4 linked regions of the Xenopus tropicalis genome follow. The protein of the gene in region 3 interacts with the protein of the main gene of each other region in a biochemical or structural test. Links are inferred from orthologs where the notes say so. Each region holds a gene or a part of one and is shown on either strand. Other genes may lie near its edges.

Evidence for each region.
Region 1: the proteins of nppb (region 3) and npr3 form a complex in vitro, tested with the Homo sapiens proteins (4 studies listed by BioGRID, with this or other methods). The link is inferred for Xenopus tropicalis from reciprocal best matches to the Homo sapiens genes NPPB and NPR3.
Region 2: the proteins of nppb (region 3) and npr1 form a complex in vitro, tested with the Homo sapiens proteins (2 studies listed by BioGRID). The link is inferred for Xenopus tropicalis from reciprocal best matches to the Homo sapiens genes NPPB and NPR1.
Region 4: the proteins of nppb (region 3) and npr2 form a complex in vitro, tested with the Homo sapiens proteins (3 studies listed by BioGRID). The link is inferred for Xenopus tropicalis from reciprocal best matches to the Homo sapiens genes NPPB and NPR2.

What each region holds. Positions count from the first base shown.
Region 1 is NC_030677.2:200,602,633-200,607,164, forward strand, and holds the end of npr3 (atrial natriuretic peptide receptor 3), read right to left. Parts: intron 1,324-4,532; coding exon 1,212-1,323; 3' UTR 265-1,211; downstream 1-264. UniProt on the Homo sapiens protein: Receptor for the natriuretic peptide hormones, binding with similar affinities atrial natriuretic peptide NPPA/ANP, brain natriuretic peptide NPPB/BNP, and C-type natriuretic peptide NPPC/CNP.
Region 2 is NC_030684.2:144,221,559-144,226,090, reverse strand, and holds part of npr1 (atrial natriuretic peptide receptor 1), read right to left. Parts: intron 4,315-4,532; coding exon 4,179-4,314; intron 2,173-4,178; coding exon 2,081-2,172; intron 1,995-2,080; coding exon 1,859-1,994; intron 1,689-1,858; coding exon 1,604-1,688; intron 1-1,603. UniProt on the Homo sapiens protein: Receptor for the atrial natriuretic peptide NPPA/ANP and the brain natriuretic peptide NPPB/BNP which are potent vasoactive hormones playing a key role in cardiovascular homeostasis.
Region 3 is NC_030683.2:65,825,276-65,829,733, reverse strand, and holds nppb (natriuretic peptides B), read left to right. Parts: upstream 1-1,970; 5' UTR 1,971-2,144; coding exon 2,145-2,264; intron 2,265-2,624; coding exon 2,625-2,901; intron 2,902-3,505; coding exon 3,506-3,522; 3' UTR 3,523-3,701; downstream 3,702-4,458.
Region 4 is NC_030677.2:215,288,226-215,292,757, reverse strand, and holds part of npr2 (atrial natriuretic peptide receptor 2), read right to left. Parts: intron 3,960-4,532; coding exon 3,804-3,959; intron 1,941-3,803; coding exon 1,772-1,940; intron 1,667-1,771; coding exon 1,520-1,666; intron 1-1,519. UniProt on the Homo sapiens protein: Receptor for the C-type natriuretic peptide NPPC/CNP hormone. Has guanylate cyclase activity upon binding of its ligand. May play a role in the regulation of skeletal growth.

The sequences.
Region 1 (4,532 bases), on a different chromosome or scaffold from region 3:
GGAGTCTATGGGAGACAGGCTTTCCGTAATTCGGAGCTTTCTGGATAACGGGTTCCATACCTGTAATTTGTTTGTATAATTTGAACAGTACCAGTAGCAATATTCTTGTAGGAAATGTAAGCATTTTACACAGACTTTTCTGAAGCCTTATCACCAGAATAAAATCAGAATGTCATATAAAAACTGACCTATTTACTTTAGTGACCTATTCTTTAAAAAAAAAAGCATTTCTCATCCAACGATCAAATACTACAGACGCGAACGGTAAGAAGAATGACTATATAATGCAATTTCAATATTAAATAACATCTAGACACTATAAATCTCATGATAGATTGTGCAGCAGAACTAAAAAATCATTCTAAGGTAAAGCATTTACATTTCCACAGGATTACAGTCAATGCCTGTGTTCACTCAAGCTTGACCCTGAAACATACAGCCGATCTGTCATGCCGCAGGTTAAGCCGTATCAAGATTGAGCAAACCAGAAAAATTCAACAAGATGGACAGATTCATTTGCATCAATGCTTCATTGTGTTTGCTTTCAGCTCGCCAGAGTCAACATGAACTCTTCAGTGTACTTTGGCAAAAACAGGTATTTTTAACCCATCGACCTCGAGAATTCATAGCAGAAATAAGATACGTGAATGGTATATTCCGTGCAGAGGCTTTGGGTTTAATGGCCCGGCGTGCTCGTTTTAACTCTTCCGCACAACGTCTACTGTATGGGAGTGAATACAACCCGTACTGCTGCCAGTACCTGCCAAGGTTGCGCACTATCAAATCAAAATTGCGCGGTTGCATTCCAACAACCTTTCCTTCTGCAAAAATTTTCAGTGTCGAAAAAAATAATTTCAGTGTTAACTATGTGTGCCAATTTGGGTTTGTTTTTCCTATGAAGCTCTGGACAAACATGTTGAAAAGGAACATTATTTTTTTTTTAAAAAAGTGCCTATCTTTGTCCGACACACATCGCCCAATGATTTCTACGCACAGATCGTAATAACCTTGTCAAACCGTGCCCGTTTTTCACAAGATGAAAGGCCACATGGCATAATGCAATTAATCGATCATTCCTGAGTTTCTGAAAACAATATGAGAATGGAAATAAGATTCTACTGCCTTAAAAAATAGCTTCTGCAAGAACCCCATCACACGTAATGATGTCTTTGGTTGCTTCTTCCTAAAGATTTTTGTTTGTTTTCTATTCTTTATGCCGCAGAAAAATGAGATCTTATGGAATCTTCCCGAAGCTGTCGGTGTTTCCCTAGGTTGCAGTCGTCCTGCTGATTTCGTCTTTCGATAGTTATTCTGTATTTCTTTCTGCAACGGGAGGAATGTCAATGGTGAGATGGTCAAGTGTCACTTTTTGCTACTAGAGGAGATTTTTCCATATGTTTTTGTAAATAAAAACTGCATTAAATAACCCAATGATAATATCTGTGTTGAAGGAGAGTCAATTTAGCCTGGACTTCAGGTGACTGGGTTTTAAATAGGATAAGGGTTTGCACACAGAAAACACAAGCACAGTGGTAGTATTAAAAAAAAATCCTTTCTATAATATGCAGAAGATTTAACAGCAAACAATTTTAATTACAAAATTACAGAAAATAACACATAAAATGATAAGATAATACATACCACAAAATGTGCATAGGCAAAAAAGAGACACGCATGATAGCGGATACACTTGCCAAAGATGAGAATTACCCCAACGTTTCAGCAAAGAGCCTTTCTCTAGGGGAATCGAGAACGTTGGGGTGTGCAAACCCTTATCCTATTTAAAATTACTGCTTTCGGTACCCTATACAGTTTTGGGTTTTTTTGCACCAAACACCTATGTTGCTTTTTTTGTATGTGAAGTGAGTGGCCTCCATTTATTTATATTTACTTTAGGTGACTGGGTCACAGAAATAACATATGAGGCTAGAGAATGTCTTCGGTTTCATAGAAGGGTTTGAGAAGAACCCTAAATCGGAGTGAAACTCCCCCTACTAAACAGATTCTGGGTCTTCAGTCTTGTGAAATGAAAGCCCAACCTTGTAATACATATAATTACATATATATAAAATGGTCATTCTCTTACAGTTCCAAAGATATCTATGATAGCAACTAAGCATTCACCATAAAGTTTCATGCAACCTCCTTTGGTTTTGAGCCCATTAGGGGACCATTTTCATAGTTGAGAACCACTGCACCAAATATTGTTTTGGGATGGATTCGGGGTTCATCCGAACCCAAAAAGCTGGGTTTGGTGCATCCCTAACTGCCAGGCATGCTGGACAATACAGTGATAACAGTCCCAGCATTTTATATCTAATCAATCACAACAGTATATATTTAGGAAAGGAAATCACATTTTATATTTCACTGATAGGTCCTGACATAGTATACAAATAACAGCAATTGATTCAGTGAAAATAAAACCACATTTTAATGGCTCAAAAATTCATTCAAAACATAATGCAAAACAAATTCAGATATATACTATACCAAACAGTGACAAGGTGCATCCTAGTGCCTCTCCTAACGCGTTTCGCACTGAGTGCTTCATCAGAGGAGGTGTGGTGTGTTGATGTCACATCCCTTTTATACCCATCCACATCTACCCTATACATTGTACAGGGTATTGCATTGAGCATATATTATAACAATATTTTAAAATATACACATTCCAGGGTTAAACAGTGCCCTGTATTCAGCATAAATTATACAGAGTCACATAAAAACCTCGTAGACATTGCAAATTTTCAAAATTCTTCTTAATCAAAAACTTTTTAACCATTATAATGGATATTATGGCCACTGTGTTAGAACATCACACCCAACATATAAAAATACAGTGAAGTTTTAAAGTGCAAATTAGTGCAAATCGATTAAAACCAGCTAAAAACTCTTTCTTTTTGTTCATTCGCTTTATCTTATATTCAGACCCCGACCAGTTACTCATAAGTCACTTTTCAAACCCAGAAGAATTGCCTTTAAGATCATTTGGTGCTATTTAGTGCTATAGGTTGCAACCCATATTTCTCCTACACAAATTATTTCCAGGATGACACTAAAAATGGTTTTAATTCAAATTTTGTATTCATCCCTTTTGGTATTACAGTGTTTAATGTAAATATCCACTTAGATTCTAACCGCAACAGCTTAGTAACCAGGTTTCCTTCACTTCTTTCATTTATTTTATCAATGCCAAACATTTGAAACTGCATCTGCTTGCCTTCATGTGAATATTTAAAATGTTTATATAAAGGGTTATCATCATCCTTATTTTTCAGTCCTCGCAGATGTTCTCCTAACCTTGTTCTTAGCTGTCTGATAGTCCGTCCCACATATATAGAACCACATTCACATTGTAGGCAGTAGATAACATACTGTGTTTGACATGATATATAAGTATCTATACTAAATTCTTTATCATTATTTTTACTGAAAAATGTTTTTTTATTACCAGTATATTTACAGGCTTTACAACCTTTGCATGGAAAGAAACCTTTTACATTACCTAACCAACATGTCACTTTCCTATCGTTATTTCTCTTCAATTTATTTGGGGCTATAAATCCCGCTATCGATTTTGCTTTTCTACTTATAACACCTGGTCTCATATTCAGCTTTTTTAACACTGGATCCACCTGTAAAATATTCCAGTTTCTTTTAATAACTTTAGTTATTTGTTTATATTGCACCCCAAAATCTAGAATGCACCTGATCTCTTCAACTTTTGTAGTTTTGGAGGTTTCCATTTTACTTTTTTTACCTCTATTTTTGTTACTATTTGCTATTAGGTCACCTACTTTGTGTAACGCTATTTGCAGATCATTTTTATTATATCCTCTCTCTTCGAGCCTCTCACACTCTTGTCTCGCTTGTTCTTTAAATATTTTATAATTAGTGAAATTTCTATAAAGTCTCACCAACTGTGCATATGGTATTGACTTTACAGTATGCTCTGGATGGAAGGAATCCCTTCTCAAAATTGTATTGCCTGCAACTAGTTTCCTAAATAGTTTTGTATTAAGTTTTTAGCTGGTTTTAATCGATTTGCACTAATTTGCACTTTAAAACTTCACTGTATTTTTATATGTTGGGTGTGATGTTCTAACACAGTGGCCATAATATCCATTATAATGGTTAAAAAGTTTTTGATTAAGAAGAATTTTGAAAATTTGCAATGTCTACGAGGTTTTTATGTGACTCTGTATAATTTATGCTGAATACAGGGCAATTTTAAACCCTGGAATGTGTATATTTTAAAATATTGTTATAATATATGCTCAATGCAATACCCTGTACAATGTATAGGGTAGATGTGGATGGGTATAAAAGGGATGTGACATCAACACACCACACCTCCTCTGATGAAGCACTCTGTGCGAAACGCGTTAGGAGAGGCACTAGGATGCACCTTGTCACTGTTTGGTATAGTATATATCTGAATTTGTTTTGCATTATGTTTTGAATGAATTTTTGAGCCATTAAAATGTGGTTTTATTTTCACTGAATCAATTGCTGTTACCAGCATTTTA
Region 2 (4,532 bases), on a different chromosome or scaffold from region 3:
GGGGGAGTTACCTGTATATAAAGATGGAGGATAGGGAGGCAGGGGGGAGTTACCTGTATATAAAGATGGAGGATAGAGAGGCAGGGGCGAGTTACCTGTATATAAAGATGGAGGATAGGGAGGCAGGGGGGAGTTACCTGTATATAAAGATGGAGGATAGACAGGCAGGGGCGAGTTACCTGTATATAAAGATGGAGGATAGGGAGGCAGGGGGGAGTTACCTGTATATAAAGATGGAGGATAGGGAGGCAGGGGGGAGTTACCTGTATATAAAGATGGAGGATAGGGAGGCAGGGGGGAGTTACCTGTATTTAAAGATGGAGGATAGGAAGGCAGGGGGGAGTTACCTGTATATAAAGATGGAGGGTAGGGAGGCGGGGGGAAGTTACCTGTATATAAAGATGGAGGATAGGGAGGCAGGGGGGAGTTACCTGTATATAAAGATGGAGGATAGGGAGGCGGGGGAGTTACCTGTATATAAAGATGGAGGTAGGGAGGCAGGGGGAGTTACCTGTATATAAAGATGGAGGATAGGGAGGCAGGGGGGAGTTACCTGTATATAAAGATGGAGGATAGGGAGGCAGGGGGAGTTACCTGTATATAAAGATGGAGGATAGGGAGGCAGGGGGAGTTACCTGTATATAAAGATGGAGGATAGGAAGGCTTAAGATGGGAGGAGCAGGGGAGTTACCTGTATATAAAGATGGAGGATAGGGAGGCAGGGGGAGTTACCTGTATATAAAGATGGAGGATAGGGAGGCAGGGGGAGTTACCTGTATATAAAGATGGAGGATAGGAAGGCAGGGGGGAGTTACCTGTATATAAAGATGGAGGATAGGGAGGCAGGGGGAGTTACCTGTATATAAAGATGGAGGATAGGGAGGCAGGGGGAGTTACCTGTATATAAAGATGGAGGATAGGAGGCAGGGGGAGTTACCTGTATATAAAGATGGAGGATAGGGAGGCAGGGGGAGTTACCTGTATATAAAGATGGAGGATAGGAAGGCAGGGGGAGTTACCTGTATATAAAGATGGAGGATAGGGAGGCAGGGGGAGTTACCTGTATATAAAGATGGAGGATAGGAAGGCAGGGGGGAGTTACCTGTATATAAAGATGGAGGATAGGGAAGGCAGGGGGAGTTACCTGTATATAAAGATGGAGGATAGGAAGGCAGGGGGGAGTTACCTGTATATAAAGATGGAGGATAGGGAGGCAGGGGGGAGTTACCTGTATATAAAGATGGAGGATAGGGAGGCAGGGGGGAGTTACCTGTATATAAAGATGGAGGATAGGGAGGCAGGGGGGAGTTACCTGTATATAAAGATGGAGGATAGGGAGGCAGGGGGGAGTTACCTGTATATAAAGATGGAGGATAGGGAGGCGGGGGGAGTTACCTGTATATAAAGATGGAGGATAGGGAGGCAGGGGGGAGTTACCTGTATATAAAGATGGAGGATAGAGAGGCAGGGGGAGTTACCTGTATATAAAGATGGAGGATAGGGAGGCAGGGGGGAGTTACCTGTATATAAAGATGGAGGATAGGGAGGCAGGGAGGAGTTACCTGTATATAAAGATGGAGGATAGGGAGGCGGGGGGAGTTACCTGTATATAAAGATGGAGGATACGGTGATGATCAGGAGGATAAAGCAGATCACTATAGACAGGATCTCCAGGATGGTAAAACTGGCTGCAGGGGGGGCACAAAGCAGAATACGGGGGGGTCACACAGCAGCCAGGAGAGTAACAGCGCCCCCACATGCCCATAATCCCTAGCTAATAGCCCCCAAGTGAGGCTACAGCCTCTATAACAAATCCATATACCTGATCCCTACATGCCCCCCCCCCCCTGGCACCTACATTTCTTGCACTTGGGGTCACTGTGATCAAACCCACAGGGAGGGACATCCCTCGGGATCCGGTTTCCCGGCCACTCGATCTCCCGTCCCGGCAGCGGAACAATCTTCCTCAGTGTCCCATTGTAATTATACACAATCTGGGGGAGAGAAATTGCATTAAAGGGGAAGTTCACCTGCATTTCATTTTCCCGGGACCCCCCCCCCCCCAATACCGGTTCCTCACCTGGAAGGTTCCGTGGGGTTCATACATGTCCCACAGGGAAAAGTCGTTCTCCCGGTCGCCATTGTCATCGATCTTCACAAACCCAGAAGCCCCTGCGGCAGATAAAGGGTAAGTTAAACCACTACAAATACACAGCTTTACCAGGGGCCCCAAAGCAAATACATAGGGCCAATTAGCGAGTGTATCACATGGTTGAGTATAAGCTCTGCGGTCCAGCCGCTGACCCTGATTCTGCCCGAAGCACAGCTGGCGGTGTCAGTGTACGGCAGCCCGAGGGGATCAGCCTGACATATAGAAACCCCCCAAGCGTTACAGCAAACTCTTCCCACCCACACATCCCTCCCAGCCAGAACATTCCTCCTGTCTAATTACCAGCCTGCCTTGGCTGGAGTCATTAGCACAGCCTGCACGGTGAGAGCTGGGGGAGAGCGTGACCCCAATCTTATATAGACAGCAGCAAGGCTGAGGGAGGAGAATTCTGGGAGATGGGAGAGGATTGTGGGATACATCAATTACATGAGAAAAGACAGATCAGTATAAAGGCATAAGGCTACACTCGTGTATTGTAAGGGATAATGTACCCCCTACTGTAACTGATAAGGATATTAGCAGTCACTGAGGGGTTCTGTGCCCCCCATATAAAGGCACAAGGCTGCAGGCTGAGTTATACAGGGAACTCTGAGTATCACTCATGTATTATAAGGGATAATGTACCCCCTACTGTATATGATAAGGATATTAGCAGTCACTGAGGGGTTCTGTGCCCCCCATATAAAGGCACAAGGCTGCAGGCTGAGTTATACAGGGAACTCTGAGTATCACTCATGTATTATAAGGGATAATGTACCCCCTACTGTAAATGATAAGGATATTAGCAGTCACTGAGGGGTTCTGTGCCCCCCATATAAAGGCACAAGGCTGCAGGCTGAGTTATACAGGGAACTCTGAGTATCACTCATGTATTATAAGGGATAATGTACCCCCTACTGTAAATGATAAGGATATTAGCAGTCACTGAGGGGTTCTGTGCCCCCCATATAAAGGCACAAGGCTGCAGGCTGAGTTATACAGGGAACTCTGAGTATCACTCATGTATTATAAGGGATAATGTACCCCTACTGTAAATGATAAGGATATTAGCAGTCACTGAGGGGTTCTGTGCCCCCCATATAAAGGCACAAGGCTGCAGGCTGAGTTATACAGGGAACTCTGAGTATCACTCATGTATTATAAGGGATAATGTACCCCCTACTGTAAATGATAAGGATATTAGCAGTCACTGAGGGGTTCTGTGCCCCCCATATAAAGGCACAAGGCTGCAGGCTGAGTTATACAGGGAACTCTGAGTATCACTCATGTATTATAAGGGATAATGTACCCCTACTGTAAATGATAAGGATATTAGCAGTCACTGAGGGGTTCTGTGCCCCCCATATAAAGGCACAAGGCTGCAGGCTGAGTTATACAGGGAACTCTGAGTATCACTCATGTATTATAAGGGATAATGTACCCCTACTGTAAATGATAAGGATATTAGCAGTCACTGAGGGGTTCTGTGCCCCCATATAAAGGCACAAGGCTGCAGGCTGAGTTATACAGGGAACTCTGAGTATCACTCATGTATTATAAGGGATAATGTACCCCCTACTGTAAATGATAAGGATATTAGCAGTCACTGAGGGGTTCTGTGCCCATATAAAGGCACAAGGCTGCAGGCTGAGTTATACAGGGAACTCTGAGTATCACTCATGTATTATAAGGGATAATGTACCCCCTACTGTAAATGATAAGGATATTAGCAGTCACTGAGGGGCTCTGTGCCCCCCATATAAAGGCACAAGGCTGCAGGCTGAGTTATACAGGGAACTCTGAGTATCACTCATGTATTATAAGGGATAATGTACCCCCTACTGTAAATGATAAGGATATTAGCAGTCACTGAGGGGTTCTGTGCCCCCCATATAAAGGCACAAGGCTGCAGGCTGAGTTATACAGGGAACTCTGAGTATCACTCATGTATTATAAGGGATACTGTACCCCCTACTGTATATGATAAGGATATTAGCAGTCACATAGAATGGTTTGTGTAGGTTCTCACCGTAGAAGGATTTATTTCTCATGTAACTGGTGACGGCCGAGGCATTCTTCATGCTGTAGCCGTTGGCGCGGGTCTCATTGACAGCGTGGGCATACAGCAGCACCGAGTCGTGGAACGACGCTGACAGGGCATTCATCTGTACAAGGGGGGGGGGGGGGGGGGGGGCAAAAATAATTTATTAAAGGTGGCAGAAATCAGTAAGTAGGTGCTGAGCGGGCAGTTACCCGGGCATTGGGGGAAAGGAGATTTAAACCTTAGGAAAGGGAATGGCTCTGTGCCCCGAGGTGCCTGAGGCTGCAGTTGCAGTTGGTCGTCTTTTCTTGCCATTCTGATTGTTAATGTGATTTATTATTA
Region 3 (4,458 bases):
ACTTATACTGACTCTATCTGATGATTAGCCTATTAGTGGCACGGAACGGTTAAAACTTGTCAATTAGTGCATACTGAGCAAATGGTAAAAGCTTACAAGTACAAACTGATTGTGGATAAATCAGCTGTAGTACCAAGACTGATTTAATGAAACGGGTAATCTATTTATTGGAATATATTTATTAATATATATGTTTTAAATTATATTTATTAAATGTTGTTTTAACAATTTAGACAAAGCACTAAATTCTTTCTAGCTGGCTCTTTAGTCTAAGCAGGGTGGTAAACACCCAGTGTGGTCTATTTATATAATAAACTGGATTGGTGATTACATTATAAGTTGCTTATCAGACTTAATCAGAGTAAGGTACAGGTATAGGACCCATTATCCAGAATGCTCGGGACCAAGGGTATTCCGGATAAGGGGTCTTTCCGTAATTTGGATCTTAATACCTTAAGTCCACTAAAAAATCAATAAAACATTAATTAAACCTAATAGGATTGTTTTGCATCCAATAAGGATTATTTATAGCTTAGTTGGGATCAATTACAAGGTACTGTTTTATTTCTACATAGAAAAAGGAAATCAGTTTTAAAATTCTGAATTATTTGATTAAAATGGAGTCTATGGGAGACAGCCTTTCCGTAATTCGGAGCTTTCTGGATAACGGGTTTCCGGATAAGGGGTCCGATACCTGTACTACAATTTCAGCAAAACAGGCTGACACTCAGGGTGAAGACACACAGAGCTACTAGAAGCAGCTACTTGTCCTGGCTACTAAAAGAGACAATGCTGATCATTTACTGATCATTTACTGATAATTGTCTCTACGTGTGTCTTAGCAGAGGCAATTCTCAGTATTGTCTATGGCAGGGTATTTTCTGGCGTTTAGTAGCCACTAGTAGCTACTAGTAGCTCCATGTGTCTTCGCCCTAACTGGGTCACAGTTGAGAACCTAATGCTAAATGCCAATATTTATTATAAAGAATTTAAATTCTTACAAGGTACAAAAATGGGCTATTTGTTATGCCTTTTAAGGATGTATTTACATCCTTAAAAGGCATAACAAATAGCCCATTTTAAATGCCTTAAGAACGTTTAATTCAGTAAGTTCTCAGCTGTGGTCCAGTAGGTATCAGCCTGTTGCTTTTCTGAAAGTCTGATGATTACACATTAAGCTGAAGATCTGGGGTGTGCATACATGGACCCACCAGTTTTTGTGGTGAGTCTACTTTTTATCAACTGGTCTTACTGAAGTTTGGTAAATCCTTGATGGACAAACACTTGGGTGTTGTTATGGATAATAAACTTAGCTGAAGCAAGCAATGCCAGTCAGCAGCAGGAAGATACTTTCTTATGAAATATACCTTAAGGCTTTATGTACAAAAAATGTGCATTAACCATTTGTAATGCAAGAATATGCTCTCACTCACGGATACATGTATTATTTGCATAAAAAATATATTGACTAATTTTTTGGACAAAAAATCAAAGATTGATGCAATTCAATCCTGTAGGAAAAGGGTGGAGGTGAAGTTTCGTAAATAACAAGGAAGATTAAGCTACTTGAAATTAATTTTTCAAACTAGACAGGGATTTATAATGTATTACTCACTTCCTTTGAAAGGCTCAAACTGCACCAACCTGTCCTATAAAAATCCTGGAACTATACAAGGTACAGGATAACTGCAATGCCCTCATCTGGGTGAATTCTAACAATTAGTATCCGGTGCTTACATACAGATCTCTCACAACAAAAGTTCTAAGTATGCCACTGGGGGTGGGGGTAATCTGAAGTGCAACATCACAGGGACACAGGGTGGCACATTCCTTTTAGTGACAACTAAAAACGGAATCTTCGACTGGCAAACTGGATGTTTCTAGCCAGAGTAATGCTGGTGCTAGAATGTGTCCAGATAAGTTTTCAGATAACCTCTGAGTACACCACTATGGTATAAAAGTGCAGCCAGGCTGGTTTGGGAGTGAAAGCAAGAAAGGGGCAAATAGAGACACACACACAGAAAGGGAAGAGTTTGAGAGGCAGAGAGAGGGCACAGAAACAAGAGAGGAAGAGAAGCAGAAGCAGAGGACAGTAACTGGACTGCAGAGAAGGTGTAAGAGCTACAAAGCTGGCATCAGTTGCAATGGAGTGGAAAGTCTTTTTGTTCTGTGGCTCCCTGCTATTTGTCTCCTTACAGTTCCAGAGCTGTGCAGCCCACCCAGTTATGGACTTGGACAAAGACAGAGACCTGGACACCTTAAAGGTGAGTTTTTTCACGTGTCCTATATAATTGTGATTTCCTTTCCTTGTAGCTTGACATGGGTAACAGGGTATGGAGTGTACTAGTATACAGAATTATAAAGTGTAGGGGATAGATTACAAGGCTTTAGAAGGGCAGAAGACACGTAAAGGTGCCCAATGCAGAAATGATTTGCTAGGCATATAAATTGCGCCTTCTCAGACTGCAGTTAATAAAAGCTGTAGTATTATTAATTTACAGTTGCTGCATAACACGTCTAGAAGTAACATTCCTGGCAAAGTAGCAGTGTGGGCAGGAAAGCGCAGCCTGGGGTTAATGTAACTGTGTGCCAGACTTATATGCTGCCTTCATGTTCTGCTACAGGGGGTACTGGAGAGGCTGGAAGAGAAACTGGCTGTTATGGAAGCTTTGGACGCAGATGCTACAAATCCTAGTTCAGAGGATGCCGATGCTGCTCGGCTGGCTGTAATAGACCAAGAAGAGATTGCCTCCCAGTCGTTCCCAGAGCCCCAGCTGCCGCTTAAGGACTCATTCCTCAAAGGGTTAAGGTCGCTGCGAAACCCCAAAATGATGAGGGGCTCCGGCTGCTTTGGAAGACGAATAGACAGAATCGATTCCCTGAGTGGAATGGGCTGTAATGGTAAGTGCACGAGAATTTTGTGCGATGTTCTAGAGATGGGACGGGCTCATGTGCCGTGGGACGGAAAGCGTTAACACGTAACAAGTACTGCGGCACCTCTGCGACTCACCCGACTCTGTCTCCGTGCTACTGACTAAGGTTCTGTGATACTGTAACACTTCTATTAAATGGTAAACCTATTGCCTTGTGCAATGTATTCATGGGAATTATTGTAATTAAAGGTAGGCAGCATCTGATAAATACGATTTTGCTTAGAGGGCATCATTTTCTGGGAGCAGTTCCATAACTGGTCACTTAGGAGTAAATAATCTTATAGCTTGAATACACAAGCAATGGATATATGTTAGTTGCCTGAGAAAAATAGCCTTTAGATCCCATTGTATTCTTAGAAACCCCACTCAGATAGTAGAAAGTGCTTTACATTGGCTCTGCTAATTATATATATAAGTAGTGTGATGCACAAGGCATACTGCTCCTGTGACATAAAGATTTCATTATTGTAGACCAGTTTATTACCAGCAAATATTCTCAACTGAGGGCTGACCTCTGTAGATTATACACATGTGGAATAGTTGTTAACCAGTATTTATTATTCTGTTTTCAGGGTCCAGGAGATATTGATCCAGGAAGGATTTCAGATTCTCTTCTGTTTCTTTATGCCCTATAAACTTTGCATAGACATTTGTGTTCTATTTAAGTCTTTGTTCTTATTTATTTATTTATGACTATTTATTTGATATTTTATAACAACATTTGGTAGCACTTCATAATTCATATTAAAAATGACAGCTGACACTTTATATTGGCTTGTGTTATTCATTTCATTAAACTGATAGTTAATTGCTTGAGATGTTAATACAAGTGGAAGAGGGAAAAAAAGACAACTTTTAAGGGCAGATTTATCAAAATGTGAGCCTAATATATATTGTTATTATTGTAAAGAGTCATTTCTGTTACAAGCAAGCACATGCACTTTGATCATTGCATCTGTGCCAAGGTCAACATTTAATAAATCCAACATAATTCAGATGATCTCATATGCAAATTAATTTAGACGTATAAATCCAGATGACAATGTGAGAGACAAAGTTCAGTGCTTATACCTTCCATCAACCCTCAGCCTTGGCTCTCCCCTTTGTACACTGTCAGAAACAGATTTAGAAGATATTATGATGTCTTACTTTCTTTTCCAATAACATCCCAAAGGCCTAAACATTAGTTATTATAGAAAGCCTTGTTCAATTTCCATATGCTGGATATGGTACAAAAATCTATATTTTCATACATACAGGTCAGAAATGGACAACTGGATTATTTAAATTATTTTCCTATATTTACTTAGTATTTACTTACTGATATTCTTCTGAAAAGTGTTTTAAGGTTGTAAAATAGCATAATCCAGTAACCAACTGCCACCAGCACAGATATAGTAAAGCTGTCACAATGAAAGCAGGAGTCTAATTTGTTGCCGTGGGATGCTGGACCTGCTTGTGTATGCATGGGATATATATTTATGAATGTTACTATTAGCTATTACAAAAGTTCTGTTGAAATGTT
Region 4 (4,532 bases), on a different chromosome or scaffold from region 3:
TACATATATCTACAATGTGTTCTACCCTCACATTCTACATATATCTACAGTGTGTTCTACCCTCCCCGTTCTATATATACCTACTGTGTGTTCTACCCTTACGTTCTACATATACCTACTGTGTGTTCTACCCTCCCCGTTCTATATATACCTACTGTGTGTTCTACCCTCACGTTCTACATATACCTACTGTGTGTTCTACTCTTACGTTCTACATATACCTACTGTGTGTTCTACCCTCCCCGTTCTACATATACCTACTGTGAGTTCTTCCCTCACGTTCTACATATATCTACAGTGTGTTCTATCCTCACGTTCTACATATACCTACTGTGTGTTCTACCCTCACATTCTACATATATCTACAGTGTGTTCTACCCTCACGTTCTACATATACCTACTGTGTGTTCTACTCTTACGTTCTACATATACCTACTGTGTGTTCTACCCTCACGTTCTACATATATCTACAGTGTGTTCTATCCTCACGTTCTACATATACCTACTGTGTGTTCTACCCTCACGTTCTACATATACCTACTGTGTGTTCTACCCTCACGTTCTACATATATCTACAGTGTGTTCTACCCTCAAGTTCTACATATACCTACTGTGAGTTCTACCCTCACGTTCTACATATACCTACTGTGTGTTCTACTCTTACGTTCTACATATACCTACTGTGTGTTCTACCCTCCCCATTCTATATATACCTACTGTGTGTTCTACCCTCACGTTCTACATATACCTACTGTGTGTTCTACCCTTGCGTTCTACATATACCTACTGTGTGTTCTACCCTTGCGTTCTACATATACCTACTGTGTGTTCTACCCTCACGTTCTACATATATCTACAATGTGTTCTACCCTCACATTCTACATATATCTACAGTGTGTTCTACCCTCCCCGTTCTATATATACCTACTGTGTGTTCTACCCTTACGTTCTACATATACCTACTGTGTGTTCTACCCTCCCCGTTCTATATATACCTACTGTGTGTTCTACCCTCACGTTCTACATATACCTACTGTGTGTTCTACTCTTACGTTCTACATATACCTAATGTGTGTTCTACCCTCCCCATTCTACATATACCTACTGTGAGTTCTACCCTCACGTTCTACATATATCTACAGTGTGTTCTATCCTCACGTTCTACATATACCTACTGGGTGTTCTACCCTCACATTCTACATATATCTACAGTGTGTTCTACCCTCACGTTCTACATATACCTACTGTGTGTTCTACCCTCACATTCTACATATATCAACAGTGTGTTCTACCCTCATGTTCTGCATATAATCGACAGTGTGTTCTACCCTCATGTTCTACATATACCTACTGTGTGTTCTACCCTCATGTTCTACATATACCTACTGTGTGTTCTACCCTCACTTATCCCCTATACACATAAATAGGTAAACCACAAGGCTGAAGGCTGAAGGATCTCATTTATAGGATATTCATGTCTCCTGTGTGTATCTATATATTTATACTGTGCGGTACTCACTGCGGAAGGATCTGGTACAACAGGTTCTCGGCCTTGCGCTTTTCCTCTAGATAGGCCTGTGTTCGTTCCTCCACCAGTTTCTCCAGGTTGTTGGCATACTGCTCCATACGGGAAAGCAGATTATCTAGGATACTGGTGCTGCCTTCCCTGCAAGTGGAAGGCACAAAGTTCAACCCTACAGGGTTATTGGCGAGTATAGGTTAAACCCAATATTTCAGAATTTAAACTCATTTTTTACGATGGGCTCCTTACTTATTGAACTTGCAGATGTAGGCCTTGATCTGGTTGAAATCTGGTCTGTCCAAAGGTTCCTCGGCCCAACATCTGTCCATCAAGATGCCCAGTTCTTCACTGTGACAACTGATGTCTACTGTGGGGCGGAAATAGGGGCGCTGGCCATTCCGCACCTTTTGTACTATCTCTAAGGAGAAAGGGAATGGTCAGTCAGGAGTCTGAGGTGCATCTGTGTAATGCCCAGCCTCTATACTGTGTCAGTCAGGAGTCTGTGATGCATCTGTGTAATGCCCAACCTCTATACTGTGTCAGTCAGGAGTCTGTGATGCATCTGTGTAATGCCCAACCTCTATACTGTGTCACTCAGGAGTCTGTGATGCATCTGTGTAATGCCCAACCTCTATACTGTGTCACTCAGGAGTCTGTGATGCATCTGTGTAATGCCCAACCTCTATACTGTGTCACTCAGGAGTCTGTGATGCATCTGTGTAATGCCCAACCTCTATACTGTGTCACTCAGGAGTCTGTGATGCATCTGTGTAATGCCCAACCTCTATACTGTGTCACTCAGGAGTCTGTGATGCATCTGTGTAATGTCCAACCTCTATACTGTGTCAGTCAGGAGTCTGTGATGCATCTGTGTAATGCCCAACCTCTATACTGTGTCACTCAGGAGTCTGTGATGCATCTGTGTAATGCCCAACCTCTATACTGTGTCACTCAGGAGTCTGTGATGCATCTGTGTAATGCCCAACCTCTATACTGTGTCACTCAGGAGTCTGTGATGCATCTGTGTAATGCCCAACCTCTATACTGTGTCACTCAGGAGTCTGTGATGCATCTGTGTAATGTCCAACCTCTATACTGTGTCAGTCAGGAGTCTGTGATGCATCTGTGTAATGCCCAACCTCTATACTGTGTCACTCAGGAGTCTGTGATGCATCTGTGTAATGTCCAACCTCTATACTGTGTCACTCGGGAGTCTGTGATGCATCTGTGTAATGCCCAACCTCTATACTGTGTCACTCGGGAGTCTGTGATGCATCTGTGTAATGCCCAACCTCTATACTGTGTCACTCAGGAGTCTGTGATGCATCTGTGTAATGCCCAACCTCTATACTGTGCCAGTCAGGAGTCTGTGATGCATCTGTGTAATGCCCAACCTCTATACTGTGTCACTCAGGAGTCTGTGATGCATCTGTGTAATGCCCAACCTCTATACTGTGTCACTCAGGAGTCTGTGATGCATCTGTGTAATGCCCAACCTCTATACTGTGTCACTCAGGAGTCTGTGATGCATCTGTGTAATGCCCAACCTCTATACTGTGTCACTCAGGAGTCTGTGAGGCATCTGTGTAATGCCCAACCTCTATACTGTGTCAGTCAGGAGTCTGTGATGCATCTGTGTAATGCCCAACCTCTATACTGTGTCCCTCAGGAGTCTGTGATGCATCTGTGTAATGCCCAACCTCTATACTGTGTCACTCAGGAGTCTGTGATGCATCTGTGTAATGCCCAACCTCTATACTGTGTCAGTCAGGAGTCTGTGATGCATCTGTGTAATGCCCAACCTCTATACTGTGCCAGTCAGGAGTCTGTGATGCATCTGTGTAATGCCCAACCTCTATACTGTGTCACTCAGGAGTCTGTGATGCATCTGTGTAATGCCCAACCTCTATACTGTGTCAGTCAGGAGTTTGTGATGCATCTGTGTAATGCCCAGCATCTATACTGTGCCAGTCAGGAGTCTGTGATGCATCTGTGTAATGCCCAACCTCTATACTGTGTCACTCAGGAGTCTGTGATGCATCTGTGTAATGCCCAACCTCTATACTGTGTCAGTCAGGAGTCTGTGATGCATCTGTGTAATGTCCAACCTCTATACTGTGTCACTCAGGAGTCTGTGATGCATCTGTGTAATGCCCAACCTCTATACTGTGTCACTCAGGAGTCTGTGATGCATCTGTGTAATGCCCAACCTCTATACTGTGCCAGTCAGGAGTCTGTGATGCATCTGTGTAATGCCACATAAATGAATATATGAATTTACCTTTTGGGCTGAGGTCCATCCCCTGGATATAAAAGCAGCCGTTTCTCAGCGCAATCTCCTGTAGGATAATCCCAAAGCTGTACACATCGCCTTTTTGGGTGCCCGGTGCCGGGGGTCTCGTCATCCGCAAAAGCTCCGGAGCCGTCCATAACTTCTCTGTATGATGAAAGCATGAATAGGACCGGCAGTTTAACAACTGTCAGCACGAGGGAAAGGCTCAGTCACTGACTGTCACCACTGGGTGCTGCCTCCTATCTCTGAAGGAAAGGCTCAGTCACTAACTGTCACCACTGGGTGCTGCTCTTATCTCTGAGGGAAAGGCTCAGTCACTGACTGTCACCACTGGGTGCTGCCTCCTATCTCTGAGGGAAAGGCTCAGTCACTGACTGTCACCACTGGGTGCTGCCTCCTATCTCTGAAGGAAAGGCTCAGTCACTAACTGTCACCACTGGGTGCTGCTCTTATCTCTGAGGGAAAGGCTCAGTCACTAACTGTCACCACTGGGTGCTGCTCTTATCTCTGAGGGAAAGGCTCAGTCACTGACTGTCACCACTGGGTGCTGCTCCTATCTCTGAGGTGAATGGCTCAGTCACTGACTGTCACCACTGGGTGCTGCCTCCTATCTCTGAGGGAAAGGCTCAGTCACTAACTGTCACCACTGGGTGCTGCTCTTATCTCTGAGGGAAAGGCTCAGTCACTGACTGTCACCACTGGGTGCTGCCTCCTATC